Xenopus tropicalis: one gene and its partner. The protein of the gene in region 1 purifies or fractionates together with the protein of each later gene. This does not show direct contact. Links are inferred from orthologs where the notes say so. Each region holds a gene or a part of one and is shown on either strand. Other genes may lie near its edges.

Region 1 (6,612 bases):
TAGATCTAAATTAGCCAGAGTTTCTGGGCCTCTGTGCACCAATCTCCGTTCTACCCATGGCGAACAAAATACTAGAATAAAACAGTACAAAAAGCCATAATGTGACTCCCCCTGCAAATTCCCATGTTTAGGAAATTAATGTAAACAAGCTCTGATCGACCCTTTCTACCGGGTCTGGACTGGGACACTAAATAGGCCCTGACATTTCAAGTACAGAGGGCCAAATAGTGACTGTCTATGGCATCTTACAGTAGCCCCTCTGGCATTTACCAGAATCCCCAGATTGCCAGTCCAGTTCTGCTTTCTACATTATATAACTGGATAAGCAACATTACTCCTCCAACAAAGATCTGTTTGAGTGAGTGTCCATTTAGGAGCTCTGGCATGGCAGGGACACCCAGTCCCGCTTACCTTGTCCTATGACATGAGCATTATAGACATTCATGTATGGATCTCAGGTTTGTCAGTTGAAATACATAATTCACAGTCGCAACAAGGAAACATGAAATGCAGGTTCAGATGATTGTGGAAGACTCCTCTTTCTGTCCCTTTGGTATCTAGCTGCACTTTGTGCAACCTGACTGTAATACAGTGAGGGAAGTTAAGGCAGTTCATGGAGGAGGAAGGACAGCACTCGTGGTGGAACGGGGAGTTTGCAGGCAGAAGACAATCTCTGTTTTCCAAGTGCTCTCCTAACTATGATACGACACAGGCTGGCAAGAGCGCGCGGATAACCTAAGGAAGGAAGAGGCACATTTGATATAATAAAAAGGCAGAAATGTCAATCTGATGCTGGTGAAAAAGGTTGGGTAACTGTAGGAGATAGGCAGCAGATATTAAAAAAAAATCACTTGGCATGTTGGTACAGTGAAACAGTATTTTCGGATGACAACCACCTGGCAAATGCTACAGTAACAAGCCATGTGTGGGAAAGAGATTTTCAAAATCCCAAAGTGGTAATACACAGGCCAACCTGGTCCACTCTCCAAATTAATCCATGGGCAGAACAGACAGAGTTATTAGTGGCCACACATGCCACCTTTCTACTGTTCCAGTCATTTGTGTATAGAGAACAAATGGTTGGAAAAGCAGTAAGTGAAGATCAGCTCCTCTTTACATCCTCATTTGCTGATATACCCTGAACCAGTATCCTAAGTACATACATATCAGTGGGGATCCATGTGCCAGCATAGACACACAGATACATAAAGATAAAAGTTAATTTCCTACTATCTGTGCGTATATAGCCTCCTTTAAAAAAAAAAAAAAGGAAAGTTACAATCACTGGGTGGTGCCAAACAAGTTTTTCCAGGAGAAGGGCAAATGATGCTGCCAGATAGGAATTAAGTAAATGATTAAATCTGTTTCTTCCGAAATTTTAATTTAACTTGGCTCATTCAGCAGTATCTCTTGAGGGTGTGGTTACTAGTTATTAGCCCTGACAGTGGTGGGGGCTTCCTTTATAGGGACAATTCATCACCAACTCTTAAATAGCATTGTCCTACAGCAGCAGCAGGCATATGTAGAGAAATTCTGGCACGCAAAGTAAAGGAAATGAATATTTCAGGATATATGTATTTACTCATTATATTATCCATTTTTAAACAATCTAATATTTCGGTTAATTTCTTTGACCTGCAGTTTTTTGTTTGTTTGGCCGCCTGAATGGTTTTCTGCAGCACTGTTTATAAACAGCATTAATAATTCATGGCAATTCCTCCATTTCACTCAAACCTCAACCTAGATTTACACACAGGAGGCCAACCTTACCTTTTGCTTCTTTAAAAAGCTCAAGCGCAGCGGTGTTCACACTTATCCTTGGATGTTCCTCTGCACATGGCTCCCCCCGCACAAGTTTCAGATTTGCCCCAAAGTCAATAAGAAGTTGCACAAATTGCTGATCACATCCATGCCGCAGAACTGCCTCTAGTAAGCAACAAGGTGCCCCTCGTGGAAAGTTCTCCTCTGACACCTTTCCCCAATAGTTATAGTCAGGGTTGGCACCAGCCTGGAGTAACAGGTGGAAGCAGGCTAGATTGTGATACGCTGCACTAATATAGAGTGGGCAGGAGGCCAGAGAAGTCAGCAATCGAGGGGAAGAGTCAGAACCACGAAAAGACAGCTGGTGATCCACATCGACATCAGCACCATACCTGCAAACAGGTGAGAAGGTCACGAGTCCTCCATAAACTCTGTTGGCATTAATATGCATCTTAATACTATGTGTACATATTTGTGTATATCAGAAAACATTAGTGTCATAAGTAATTAGCTGACTATATGGAACAGCCAAATATTCTTTAAAAAAATCAGTACTGTTTAGTGTTCTTTAATTATTACTATTATTTCATGTTTTAATGCTTTTAAAGTTTTATAATGTATAATGCAATAATGTATTTGGGGCATACAGACGCTGTGTGGCCAAGGGAAAATAAGACAGGGATACTAGCTTAAGGTGGCCATACACTGTAAGATCCACTCGTTGGCGAAGTCGTCAAGCAAGGGGATCTCCTCCAGATATGCCCACCTAAGGGTGGGTGCTATCAAGGCTAGTTTGATTATTTGACCCCAGGGCCAAACAACTGAGTTAAAATGGCGTGCATAGGCACCATTGGTTTGTGGACTGCATTAACGAGCCAGTGCCGTCAATGACCCAACAAAAAAATCTACCCTGCCAAAGAGGTGACCTGTGGCAATTCTGCTACCTGCAGAGCACAGAGAAAAGTGTAAAACATGGTCTCTGTCTGTCTTTTAGACTATGCACCCTGTCTTGCATGTAGGGAATGACCCCTTTGGAGAGCACTGTTAAGAGTGGTGTCTATGCAGCCATGTGTTCTATAATTGGATTAAGATTTAGTTGAGCACACCCATACAAATATCATGAAAAATAAAGTTACTGAGCTCTCACTTGATCAACTCTTGCAGTATGTCGGCCCGGCCCACGCGTGCAGCATGGTATATGGGGGAGCTTCTATTGTGAGGACTGCCATTTGGGTCTGCCCCAGCCCTTAGCAGAACTTTTACACATTCCAGGTGTCCATTTTCTGCAGCCACATAGAGAGGGGTCTGTCCCTTCACATCTACCAGCTCCAGCTGTGCCCCAGAGCGGATGAGGAGCTCCACACAATCAGCATGTCCGGCCGTGGCTGCAATGCGCAATGGAGAACAGGGTAGCCAACCGCTACACCACACAGCTCGCTCATCTATACCCCTAGGTTTAACAAAAACATAAAAAACACGAATGCATAAAGGTATACACCCATGAGCCTTTTAAAGTGCATTTGTCCTGCTACTGATTTGCATGCATTAACTGAATGGCAACACAAGTGTTCATTTTAGTCTTCCTTGTGGGCTGTTATTGATGCTGAGTCCAGAAATTCTGCCCAATGATTATGTTCCCATCTATAGACAGAAAGCCAAAAGAATGACTGAAATCTTTTTAGAACCTATAAAGCCTGTGGGTTAGTGCCCTATTTATGTATAGGAATTATAAGAGGAACAGAAGATTCAGCTATTAGTGAGATACAGGACAGAGCAGCTCCTATACCACTGATTTCTCTGTTATGCAGCTTTTGTTATGCAGCTCCCCAACTTAGAACTGAAGCCATTATTCTGAAGGCAGTACTCTGAATGGTGGAATCACATAGCTTCAGTGTTCATATTACTGTTATCAAGTTACCTTCCCCTGCTAATAATGAAGAAGCTACCACTAGGCTTACAAAAAAAGCTCAATATACTATGATCTCATATTTGTATATTTATATGCTTGCTGTATAGCTAGAGAATCAGAGAATTCCTGCTTATAAACAGAATACATTTGCCCTTTAAAGACCCTTGAAATATACTACTTTAGGTTTACATGCTATACATTGAAAGGGAATAGTTAAAACAGAATATTTATTAAAGGAGAACAAAACCCCTTTACACACTTTGCCATAGAAGCCTTCTTCCTGAACCATTGAAATGCCCCAATATTGCCTGCTCCACTGTACCTCATGGTAAGAGCAGTCCAACAGCATCAGTGGCCATTCTCTCTATATGCTTGACTTCCACTCTCAGGCCTTTTGGCAGCAATCGCCAACCAGGAGCATGCACATAAAGTTGAATTCTGGACTAAATCAGGCTCAGCTGCTCATGTTTCTGGTCACCAGCAGGCCTGGGAAAGGAATTCAAGTAGCCAGTGATGCTGGCTGGCAACTGCCCTGGGCTACTCCGCCTGTTGTCATGAGTTAGGCCATACTGAGGCATGATGGTGCTGCGATTCAGGAGGAGGGAGGGAGGGCTATGCATAAATGGGTTTTGTTCTCTTTTAGGCTAAAATTATGGTAAAAGCTAAGGTTCTGCTGCATGGTGTGTCTTCTATAATAACAGAGCTACACTCATGTACATGTCTGACATTTCATTACACTCAGAAAACAAAACGTGTATAATGTGGGCAGGTAAATGAGACACCAGATATTCAGTGACTCTCTACCAGCATTTTGTGTAGTATTTCCAGTGCATGTTCATTACAAGTCAAATGGGGTAACATAATGGGGCTTATTTGCGACCCTGGGGGATGCAAGTATGTGCCCCCTGGCATTCATTTAGCAGTACTTGCTGGGCTTGCTTCTCTTTGCATGGAGTCTGATCAAAAATCCAGCACTCCATGCAAAAAGCAGCATCAGGTGGCGCACTCCAGCCCTGTCCTCAATGCCTGCCTTAGAGTAGGCAATAAGGAAAGGGGCCGTATGCCAGCTGTGCCTCTAGCTGCTCCATACCCAAGCTCGAAGCAGGCCTGGACTGGGATTCAAAACAGTCCCTGGTATTTTAAGTACACTGGGACCCAAACCCAATAAAGCCCAATAAATAGCGACAGCAGCCCGTCTGACATTTGCCAGAATCCACAGATTGCCACTCTGGGCCTGACCGGAAGTGGTGGCTAATTTTTCAGCCCAAACTTGACCTGTAAGCCTGTACATTCACCCTTTGATGAAGAATAAATAACTTTTCTGTTTTCATGTTCCATTTTTAAGGCTACATTTCAATTTTCTTTAAATAGATTTACAGCATTACAGTGTGACACTGGGAGGACAACAAGCACCCCTCTGCCCTTCTGGTGAGAGGCAGAAAATAAAAAAGCCAGTTATGTATTGGTTAGAAAACAGGCAGCTTTTCTTGTTGTTTTCATGCACACAGATTCAAGCACTGCTGCTCCTTTCATGGTGTTTACCTTAGAAACCTCTCATCTTGCAGAAGGCTCCTTAGCGTGTCAATATCCCCCACACAGGCTGCATTGTGCAAACGTGTATCCTGGCATTGCTCCAATGGGTGATCACAGTACTTGTCCTGCAACCATGCCTTCAGGCTCCGCCCTGCACACAGCAAAATATTAACATATAATCTGAGTATACGACTGACACTCATTAGTGAAAATACAGTGATCACTAAAAAAAAACAAAACATATATTTGGAGGTTTTTAATTATAAATGTTAAAGGAATTCTGACACGATTTTTATGGTTTTTTATTTCTAAATTACACTGTTTACATCGCAAATAATTCACTCTGCCATTTAAAATTTTATTCTTGAACCAACAAATGTATATTTTTTAGTTGTAATACTGGTGTTTATGCAGCCACCTCAGTGCGTTGTGCCTGAATCTGAGCTGTCAGAAGGAGCCAGCGCTATACATTAGAACTGCTTTCAGGTAACCTATTGTTTCTCTTACTCAATGTACTGTCCGTATGATCCAAGTCACATAATAGCAAATAGGGTTTCTCCTGATTGGATGCTATTCTCATGTCTACACTAGGTAGGGAAACCTGTTCGTTTTTTTTTTTTTGGGGGGGGGGGGGTGATATCACTTAAGCTTGCAGCAGTAAAGTGTAACTGAAGTTTATCAGAACACAGGTCACATGGCTGTGGCACCCTAGGAAATTAAGAATATGGCTAGCACCATGTGAAATTTAAAAATTACATATCAAAAAATCTGTTTATACTGTAATAAAATGCATTTCTGTGCAAAATTCTCCTGATGAGTTTTGAGAGTATTCCTTTTACTACATTGCCACTAACTGTTCTTGTGGAGTTGCAGTCCAACTATTCCCTAAATAGGGGGAGGAGATTTCAGGAAATGGCATTTGCTGAGTGGGATTGGGCAGGGCTATATTTTCTAAGGAACCATTCCCAGCAGCCTAGGGTACTGTTCAAGATAGTGCCATCTCCCTTTCTCTGGGACATGCACAGAAGGGCAGAGACAAAGAGCTGTATGATCTAAATCCAACAGTTACTCTGGTAAGGACATTTTGGTAAAACTTCGGGAAGGGCCAGACTAGCAATCAGCAGATTTGGGCAAATGCCAGAGGGGCTGCTCTAAGATGCCATAGACAGTCACTCTTTATTGGGCCTGTGGGGACTGTTTGGGCCTCTGTACTGGAAATGCCAGGGCCTATTTTAAAGACTGTCTCTGGGGACTTCAGTCTGGTTTATTGGGGTGATACTGGGTGAAACATGAAGGGAAAGAAAATGCATTCATTTTTCAAAAGGAAATTAAAAAAAAAAACAAAAAACTGGCACCTTACACAGGTATCGGACCCCTTATCTGGAAACCCATTATCCAGAAAGTTCAGA
Region 2 (7,317 bases), on another chromosome or scaffold:
AAAATAAATCCACTTTCTAAAGCTATTCCATTACTTTTGAAGGCATTGCTGGGCACAGAAAATAATTTCTATGGAAATTAGAATTTGTAAACAGAATTGAGAGCAACAGTGGTTGTGTGGCCAAGCTTCCAATAGAGTAGCACCATGGTCCTATTACTGACATACCAAGTATTCATTGGCTGGACTGTATAAAAATGATGTTGTACTGAACCGTCTATTTCATGGAGGGGGAGAGTAAAGAGAGATACAATTAAAACATAACTTTTATAGATGCATACATGTAGATATATGTGCAAACAATTTAACGTCTGTTTTTGTGGCAATTTGATTTACAGGTTAATGACGTTTAATTGAAATAAATATGTGATACTGTTTCTGCATTTTGTATGATAATAGGTGCTCAGTGGACCCATTCTAGCTCGTTAATCTCAGTTGTGCCCTATAATAGGTATATAGGTTCTTTGGGATGAGATTTATATTATGGACAAAGAGAGAAAGAGGGTGTCACCGAGATAAGGTCAAATCTGAAAGAAAAATTGTTGCATCTTTAGAGAAGCTGTTAATATATGTACTGCACAAATATACATACAAAATAAAACCTGGTGTAATCATTGCATTGGACTTCAGAGATCTGTGCCAGTGTGCCAATTCAATAAATATTACATTTCTGCCAAGCATTAAGTGTCCAGTTTAAATTTTCCCTGTTTCCCTTTATTTCAGGCATACAAAGCTGTTGTAAATGATGCAACAATATTTAAACTTGAATTGCCACTAAAGCAGAAAGGGTAAGTCACATGTGTCTTTAATTGTTATTCTCTTTGATTTATATATTTCTCAGGCTAAATGATTTTGTGTTATACTTATTTATAAGGAACAAATTAAGAATAGCTGGGAGAGGCGAGGGCTGTCGTGATAGATCCTCAGACAAGGGTAGAGATAAGGGCAGGGGTTAGAAATAAATTGATGTACAGGTAAGGTTCCATAGTACCTCTTCCCATTATGACAATATAATGTATATTATTTTGGTAGGAGCATCCTGGATCTATAAATCCAAAATGTGGTGTTAGTAACAATCATTATTCTTATTATGGGATTCTTTCTCATTTAAGGGTGGGTCTGAAAACACAGCCGGAGTCCAAGTGCCCAGAGTTGCTCGCTAACTATTGTGATATGTTGTTACGGAAAACGCCACTCAGTAAGAAACTGACTTCTGAGGAAATCGAGGCAAAGTTGAAGGAAGTGGTATGTACAGAACACATTTTGTGTCCTTCTTACACTATGATTTGGGCTTTGTTGCATTCAAAGGTAAATGGTAACCTTAACGTTATTCAGCATTTGGCATCTGATGAGCAGTACACCAGCTTCCTTCACCTACCGGGCTCTGTAGGACTAAGTAGGCTGTATAGAGACTGAATATGAAACAGCAGAAACTCAACTTACCTTTTAGGCAAACCAATTAATTCACTAAGGCCCCCAGACAACAGCAAGCTAGTGGCACAGATGCTCATAGCCGCAAAAACTCTATAAGAAAATGACGTGTCACCCTTCCCAACTCAGGCTTGTTATGAAGGAGAGAGATCTTTCTCTGATATGTGTAAGAGGGGCTGAAACCAATCATTATACAGCAGGTTAAGAGATGGTGTTGGTTACAACTGTGCTATACTGCAGAAAACCATAGAAGAGCTACACCCTTGATGTAACACCAATAGACCGATAGAATTGAATGACAATGGGTTAAACTCAATTTACATGTTCTTTTCTGATTTCCTACCTGTAAACATATTTGGAATAAATTAATTACTGGAATAAAAAAAAATATAACGGACTGTATTTGTTTTCCCCTGCAGCTGTTGGTGCTAAAATATGTGCAGAACAAGGATGTGTTCATGAGGTACCACAAGGCTCACCTGACACGCCGCCTCATTTTAGATATCTCCGCCGACAGTGAAATAGAAGAAAACATGGTGGAGTGGCTCAGGGTAACTATCACTTGAGCTGTTCAAACTGACATTAGACAGTGCCCAAACAGTGGGCACTGTAAATGGAGCAAGTTTAGGGAAACCCATAGTAGACTGATTGCAGGTAGCTAGTCGCTGGTAAAGTAAATATCTGTAGGGCAAGAATCTTTCACTGTGTAACATACTACATTTCTTTGTTCTGTTGTGTATATCTTTTAGGAGGTGGGCATGCCAGCTGATTATGTAAATAAACTAGCCAGAATGTTCCAGGACATCAAAGTATCAGAAGACTTAAACCAGGCTTTCAAAGAAATGCATAAAAATAATAAATTAGCCCTGCCAGGTAAGTTTGGAATTGGGTTTAAAACAATTGTTATTATTTCCTGGTATTTATATTGTGCTGACACTTTTCTGCAGTGCTTTACAGAGATTATACCATTCATATAAGGCCATGCCCCTAGGACACTAGGATCAGTTTTATCAGGAGCCAAAAGACCTGCCTGTTCTTTTTTTTTTTTTTTTTTTTGTGGGTGTGGGAGGAAACCAGAACTAGGGGTAGGCAGAAGGGGCACGTGCCTAGGTCACAGCTGAGAGGGGGAGCTAGAACCCTAGGCATATACCTCTGCTGCCTCCACTACCTTCAGCCCTGGGGGTCAGGTATGCTGAGTGAGGAGCTGTGCCATTGACTGAATGGTGGAGCAGAGATCAGTGGCAGCACCAGAAAATAGGTGAGAATGTTAAGAAAAAGAGACTTGCTGAGTAAGGGAGAGAGAGTTGCGACATGGAAGGGGGGTGGGTCGATAAATGAGATTTTCCCTTGGGTATCCTGGTGTGGTGGCCCTTCTATAAATGGAGGAAACCCATGGGGAGAATATGGTGCCCAAGCCGGAATCAAAATAAGGCCCCCACCCCAGTAAGGCCGAAGTGCTACTCGCTGAGCCCACCCTCATTATAAATATGACCATTGTTTATTTTTTGCCCTTACTTCCACTTCCATAATCAGGACCAAAAACACCTCATTTTCAGGCTGGTAAGCACTTGTATTGGGGGTTTTTTGTTAAATTGACAGTGTGTGGCACTTTTCACATGTCTAGTCCTTACTAGGACTAAAAGTTCTTTATACGGGGTATTTATCTGGATAGAGTAAATTAATTAACTATCTTCTTCTTCAACAGTGCATTTTATTTACCTGCTTTTTTTTTTTTTTTTAATTATGGCCAGCTGACTCTGTGAATATTAAAATTTTGAATGCCGGTGCTTGGTCACGGAGCTCGGAAAAGGTATTTGTGTCCCTTCCCACTGAGCTCGAGGACCTCATTCCTGAAGTAGAGGAGTTTTACAAGAAAAACCACAGCGGCAGAAAGCTTCACTGGCACCATCTTATGTCCAATGGCATTGTGAGTATCTGCTCTGCACGGCATATTAGTGAATTGAGTTGCTAAGGGCTTTCCATGTATAAAGCACTTAAAAAAAGAAAAAAAACACAGAAATTCCTAGTAAATCACTGTAATCGGTTCCTTTAAAAATTATGAATAAATTCAATTTTTTATGTTCAAATCCAGCTGCAAAAAAGTTCTTTCTTTCTGCATCATTTGAAATCCTGGCAGGGGAGGAGGGGCTAAAACATTGACGTTACAAATGGTAACAACTTCTCCACAGCTTGCAGGAACTACATAACCCACAATGCATTGCACTGTGATTTTCCTTTCCTTATTGACATCACATGTGCAGGGAATTGTGGGATTGGGAGGAAGCAGGCTAAAGGCAGCCTGAGGACAGGCAACTACTGTTACATTTTATTTGAGTCTCAAAGTAGTCAGCCAGATCATTAGGGTGTAATTTGTTATTGCAAAGTTTTTGGTGCTTTTTCAGAATCTCTCTCTCTCTTTGTATAATGGACCAGTCCTGTAATGTTGAACTGGATGGCACGCCACTGTTTTACAGATAACATTTAAGAATGAGGTTGGCCAGTACGACTTGGAAGTTACCACTTTCCAGCTGGCAGTTCTGTTTGCTTGGAACCAAAGGCCGAGAGAAAAAATCAGCTTTGAAAATCTTAAACTGGCAACAGAGTTACCTGATGCTGAGCTTAGGAGAACTCTGTGGGTAAGTGTAAATGTGTTAGTATCGGTGTGTGTCATTGGCTAAACTGAACCTGCATGGCTGTGAGTTGTTGCATGGTAAGCCAGCCAAATCATTGCCATGTACGTGTTCTATGTGGGATCCAAGTGTTTGGTTCTTAATCACCTGGGGGCCTGTTCAGTAAATTGCAGACTGTATAGGGGCAGAGGCACTCCAAGGCTGACTAGATTTTGGGTTGCCCTTGGCATAACTGCTTACAATTGTTTCATTTTCTCTGTTTAGTCTCTTGTAGCATTTCCAAAGCTGAAACGCCAAGTATTATCCTATGAACCGACGGTAAATTCCCCAAAAGACTTCACAGAGGGTACCCTCTTCTCTGTAAATCAGGAGTTCAGCCTAATGTAAGTCATGTTTACATGTTTAATGCTGCTTGGTATCTTGTTTAATAGCTGCTTCACTAAACACTGCTGAATGTCTGTGCACCTTGGGTGGATCTATAAGCATTCTACTTGCACTGCTCCGGCTTTCATTTACAGGGCAACTTTACCTTTATTTTGTCTAATGCAGATATCCATAGGTACATTATAAACTGTTTCCCCTAGCTTCTGTGTCAATCTGCCAGGTTCAGCTCTGTAAAAGCTTCTCTTGTTCTTAAGGTGGCCATACACATAAAGATCTGCTCGCCTGGCAAGGTCGCCAAGCGAGTGGCTCTTCTCCCGATATCCCCACCTACGGATGGGCAACATCGGGGAATTTAGGCTAATTTGGTTGTTTGGCCCTGGGGCCAAGCGATCGAATTATAATGACTGGAATAGGCGAGCCGATGCGGTCCCCAATCAGACTGAATTTTTTAAGCTGCAGAATCAGTCCAAGGGACCAATATTGCCAGCTTCAATAGGCAGGTTGGCCATAACCTTATCTCCTGCCTAGCCCTCCCTAAATGTGATCAAACCCTTACAAGCAGAAACTCTTGAGTGGTGACTTTGTGGCTCCATGGCCTTATGTTACCTTTGGCTTTGTCAGTCATTTGTGGCCTATAATGGGAATGTCCAGGAAAGTGGTGGTAAAACGTGCTTTTGCACTAGCACAATAATTGGAATCCCCCACTCTTCCCTTTACCCACAATCTGGCACAGTTAGACAGGAAGGTGCTCCCAATGAATCACTAAGTGCTACTGTTTTATCACTTCATCATGACTGTGTGTTCTAATCCTAGAAAAAATGGAAAGGTTCAGAAACGGGGTAAGATCAACTTAATCGGCCGCTTGCAGCTGACCACGGAAAGGATGCGAGAAGAAGAGAATGAAGGCATTGTGCAGCTAAGGATATTAAGGACACAGGTACAGTATGTCCTGGCTATTAGATGGGAGTCACAAAGGGAGCCATGTCCAACACTGACATTTAGGGCAGAGGTGCTGGCACGTTTTGCTCCCTGTGCTATTTACTAGCTCATAGGAAGGGGGGAGTAAAGCAGAAAAAAATACCCCACCATAGACTTTTATGATAGTTGGACTGATTCTGCCAGTATGGCATCTTTAATGTTCAGCTGTTGTGAGTACACAGTTGTATAGTTAGTACAGCTAGAGTTAAAAGGAAGTCACTGGACTTAGCCCCCTGTGGTTAACACATGAAAGTGTTAAAGAAACTAACAATAGGGCTCTAGAAGAATTTTGGGAGTTAAACCCTGGAACTGCCCCTACTGATGTAGTGTGGGAGGCTGGGAAAGCCACCCTTAGGGGTGCCCTCACCTCCGCAATTAAAGGGGTCAGGAAAAAGGCAAAAGAGGAACTAGAGGAGAGACAAAATAACCTAACGGAAGCAGAGAAACAATACATTATCCATACAGGCCCAGACACCCTACGTACTTTTAGGGCGGCACAAACCGCATTAGAAGAGACCAGAATTAAACTAACACAGAAAAAGCTGCTTTATGCTACGCAGAGAACGTTTGATCAAGGGGAAAAAAATGGCAAAATCCTTGCATATCTCTCCAAAGCCCAAGCCCCTTCGAACACCATCACTAAGATCACATCCATGAATGGGGACATAATTACTGAGGTATCCCACATAACCAATATCTTTGCACAATACTACAAACAGCTTTACACCACTGAAGCCAACTATACCCCACTGCAGCTATCAAACTACATGGATACCATCCCCATCCCCCGATTATCCCTACTACTTAGGGCCCAACTCAACAGTCCCATCACACTAGTGGAGGTAGAGGAGGCAATAACCTCGCTTCAACTCAATAAAACACCAGGCCCAGATGGATTCCCTGCTGACTGGTATAAGACATCTGCAGAACTTATCTCCCCCTGGCTCCACAAAACTTTGCTTGACGCAACAGAAAATAATAAACTACCTCGCTCCTTTAACACGGCCCTTATTGTGGTCATCCCCAAAGATGGTAAGGACCCATTGGAGTGCGGCTCTTACAGACCTATCTCCCTCCTCAATGTAGATGCAAAAATCTTTGCAAAAATCCTCTCTAACAGACTGAAACTAGTAGTTGAGGAACTAATTGAGCCTGACCAAACAGGCTTTATGCCAAACAGATCCACCAATATAAACATCCGTAGGCTGTTCACTAATATCCATGCCGACCACACCAACAAAGGTTCCCGTGTAGTAGTCTCACTTGACGCAGCCAAAGCCTTCGACTCCGTCGAATGGCCCTATCTCCTGAAACTCCTTGAGAGGTTTGGCCTGGGTGAGCAGTTTGTTAAATGGGTGGGAATGCTATATGAAGCACCAACAGCAAAGGTTATGGTAAATAGACACCTATCCCCAGAGTTCTCTCTAGCTAGAGGTACCCGGCAAGGTTGCCCACTGTCACCTCTCCTATTTGCCCTAGCAATAGAGCCCCTTGCCATTCTGATCCGACACTCTGCAGCCATAACAGGTCTCAAACTGGGGGCTGTGGAGGAACGCATATCTTTATATGCTGATGATGTTTTACTGTATTTGGACTCCCCTGGTGCCTCACTACAGACAGTCCTAGGCATAGTCCAAAACTTTGGGGACTTCTCCGGCCTGCGAATCAATTGGGAAAAATCCAGCGTATTCCCCATAGACTCAAATATTGATCCAAATATCTTCCCTCCTACTCCCTTGCAGTGGGTTGACACATTTAAATACCTGGGTATCCAAATAAGAAAAGAGCTGAGCGACTTCATCCCCAACAACTTAGACCCCATTCTTAAAGCCATGAAAGAGAAGCTGCTGGTGTGGGCCAATCTCCCCTTATCCATCTGGGGTAGAATCAGTCTGTT

What was found.
Region 2: the proteins of asb1 (region 1) and cul5 purify together in Homo sapiens (affinity purification with mass spectrometry; 6 studies listed by BioGRID and IntAct, counting the BioPlex papers as one, with this or other methods). This does not show direct contact. The link is inferred for Xenopus tropicalis from reciprocal best matches to the Homo sapiens genes ASB1 and CUL5.

Annotation. Positions count from the first base shown.
Region 1 is NC_030685.2:60,745,284-60,751,895, reverse strand, and holds part of asb1 (ankyrin repeat and SOCS box protein 1), read right to left. Parts: intron 5,355-6,612; coding exon 5,213-5,354; intron 3,212-5,212; coding exon 2,909-3,211; intron 2,193-2,908; coding exon 1,771-2,192; intron 736-1,770; coding exon 602-735; 3' UTR 1-601. UniProt on the Homo sapiens protein: Probable substrate-recognition component of a SCF-like ECS (Elongin-Cullin-SOCS-box protein) E3 ligase complex which mediates the ubiquitination and subsequent proteasomal degradation of target proteins.
Region 2 is NC_030678.2:159,946,553-159,953,869, reverse strand, and holds part of cul5 (cullin-5), read left to right. Parts: intron 1-720; coding exon 721-785; intron 786-1,109; coding exon 1,110-1,242; intron 1,243-1,847; coding exon 1,848-1,979; intron 1,980-2,177; coding exon 2,178-2,301; intron 2,302-3,179; coding exon 3,180-3,355; intron 3,356-3,902; coding exon 3,903-4,064; intron 4,065-4,322; coding exon 4,323-4,441; intron 4,442-5,255; coding exon 5,256-5,379; intron 5,380-7,317. UniProt on the Homo sapiens protein: Core component of multiple cullin-5-RING E3 ubiquitin-protein ligase complexes (ECS complexes, also named CRL5 complexes), which mediate the ubiquitination and subsequent proteasomal degradation of target proteins.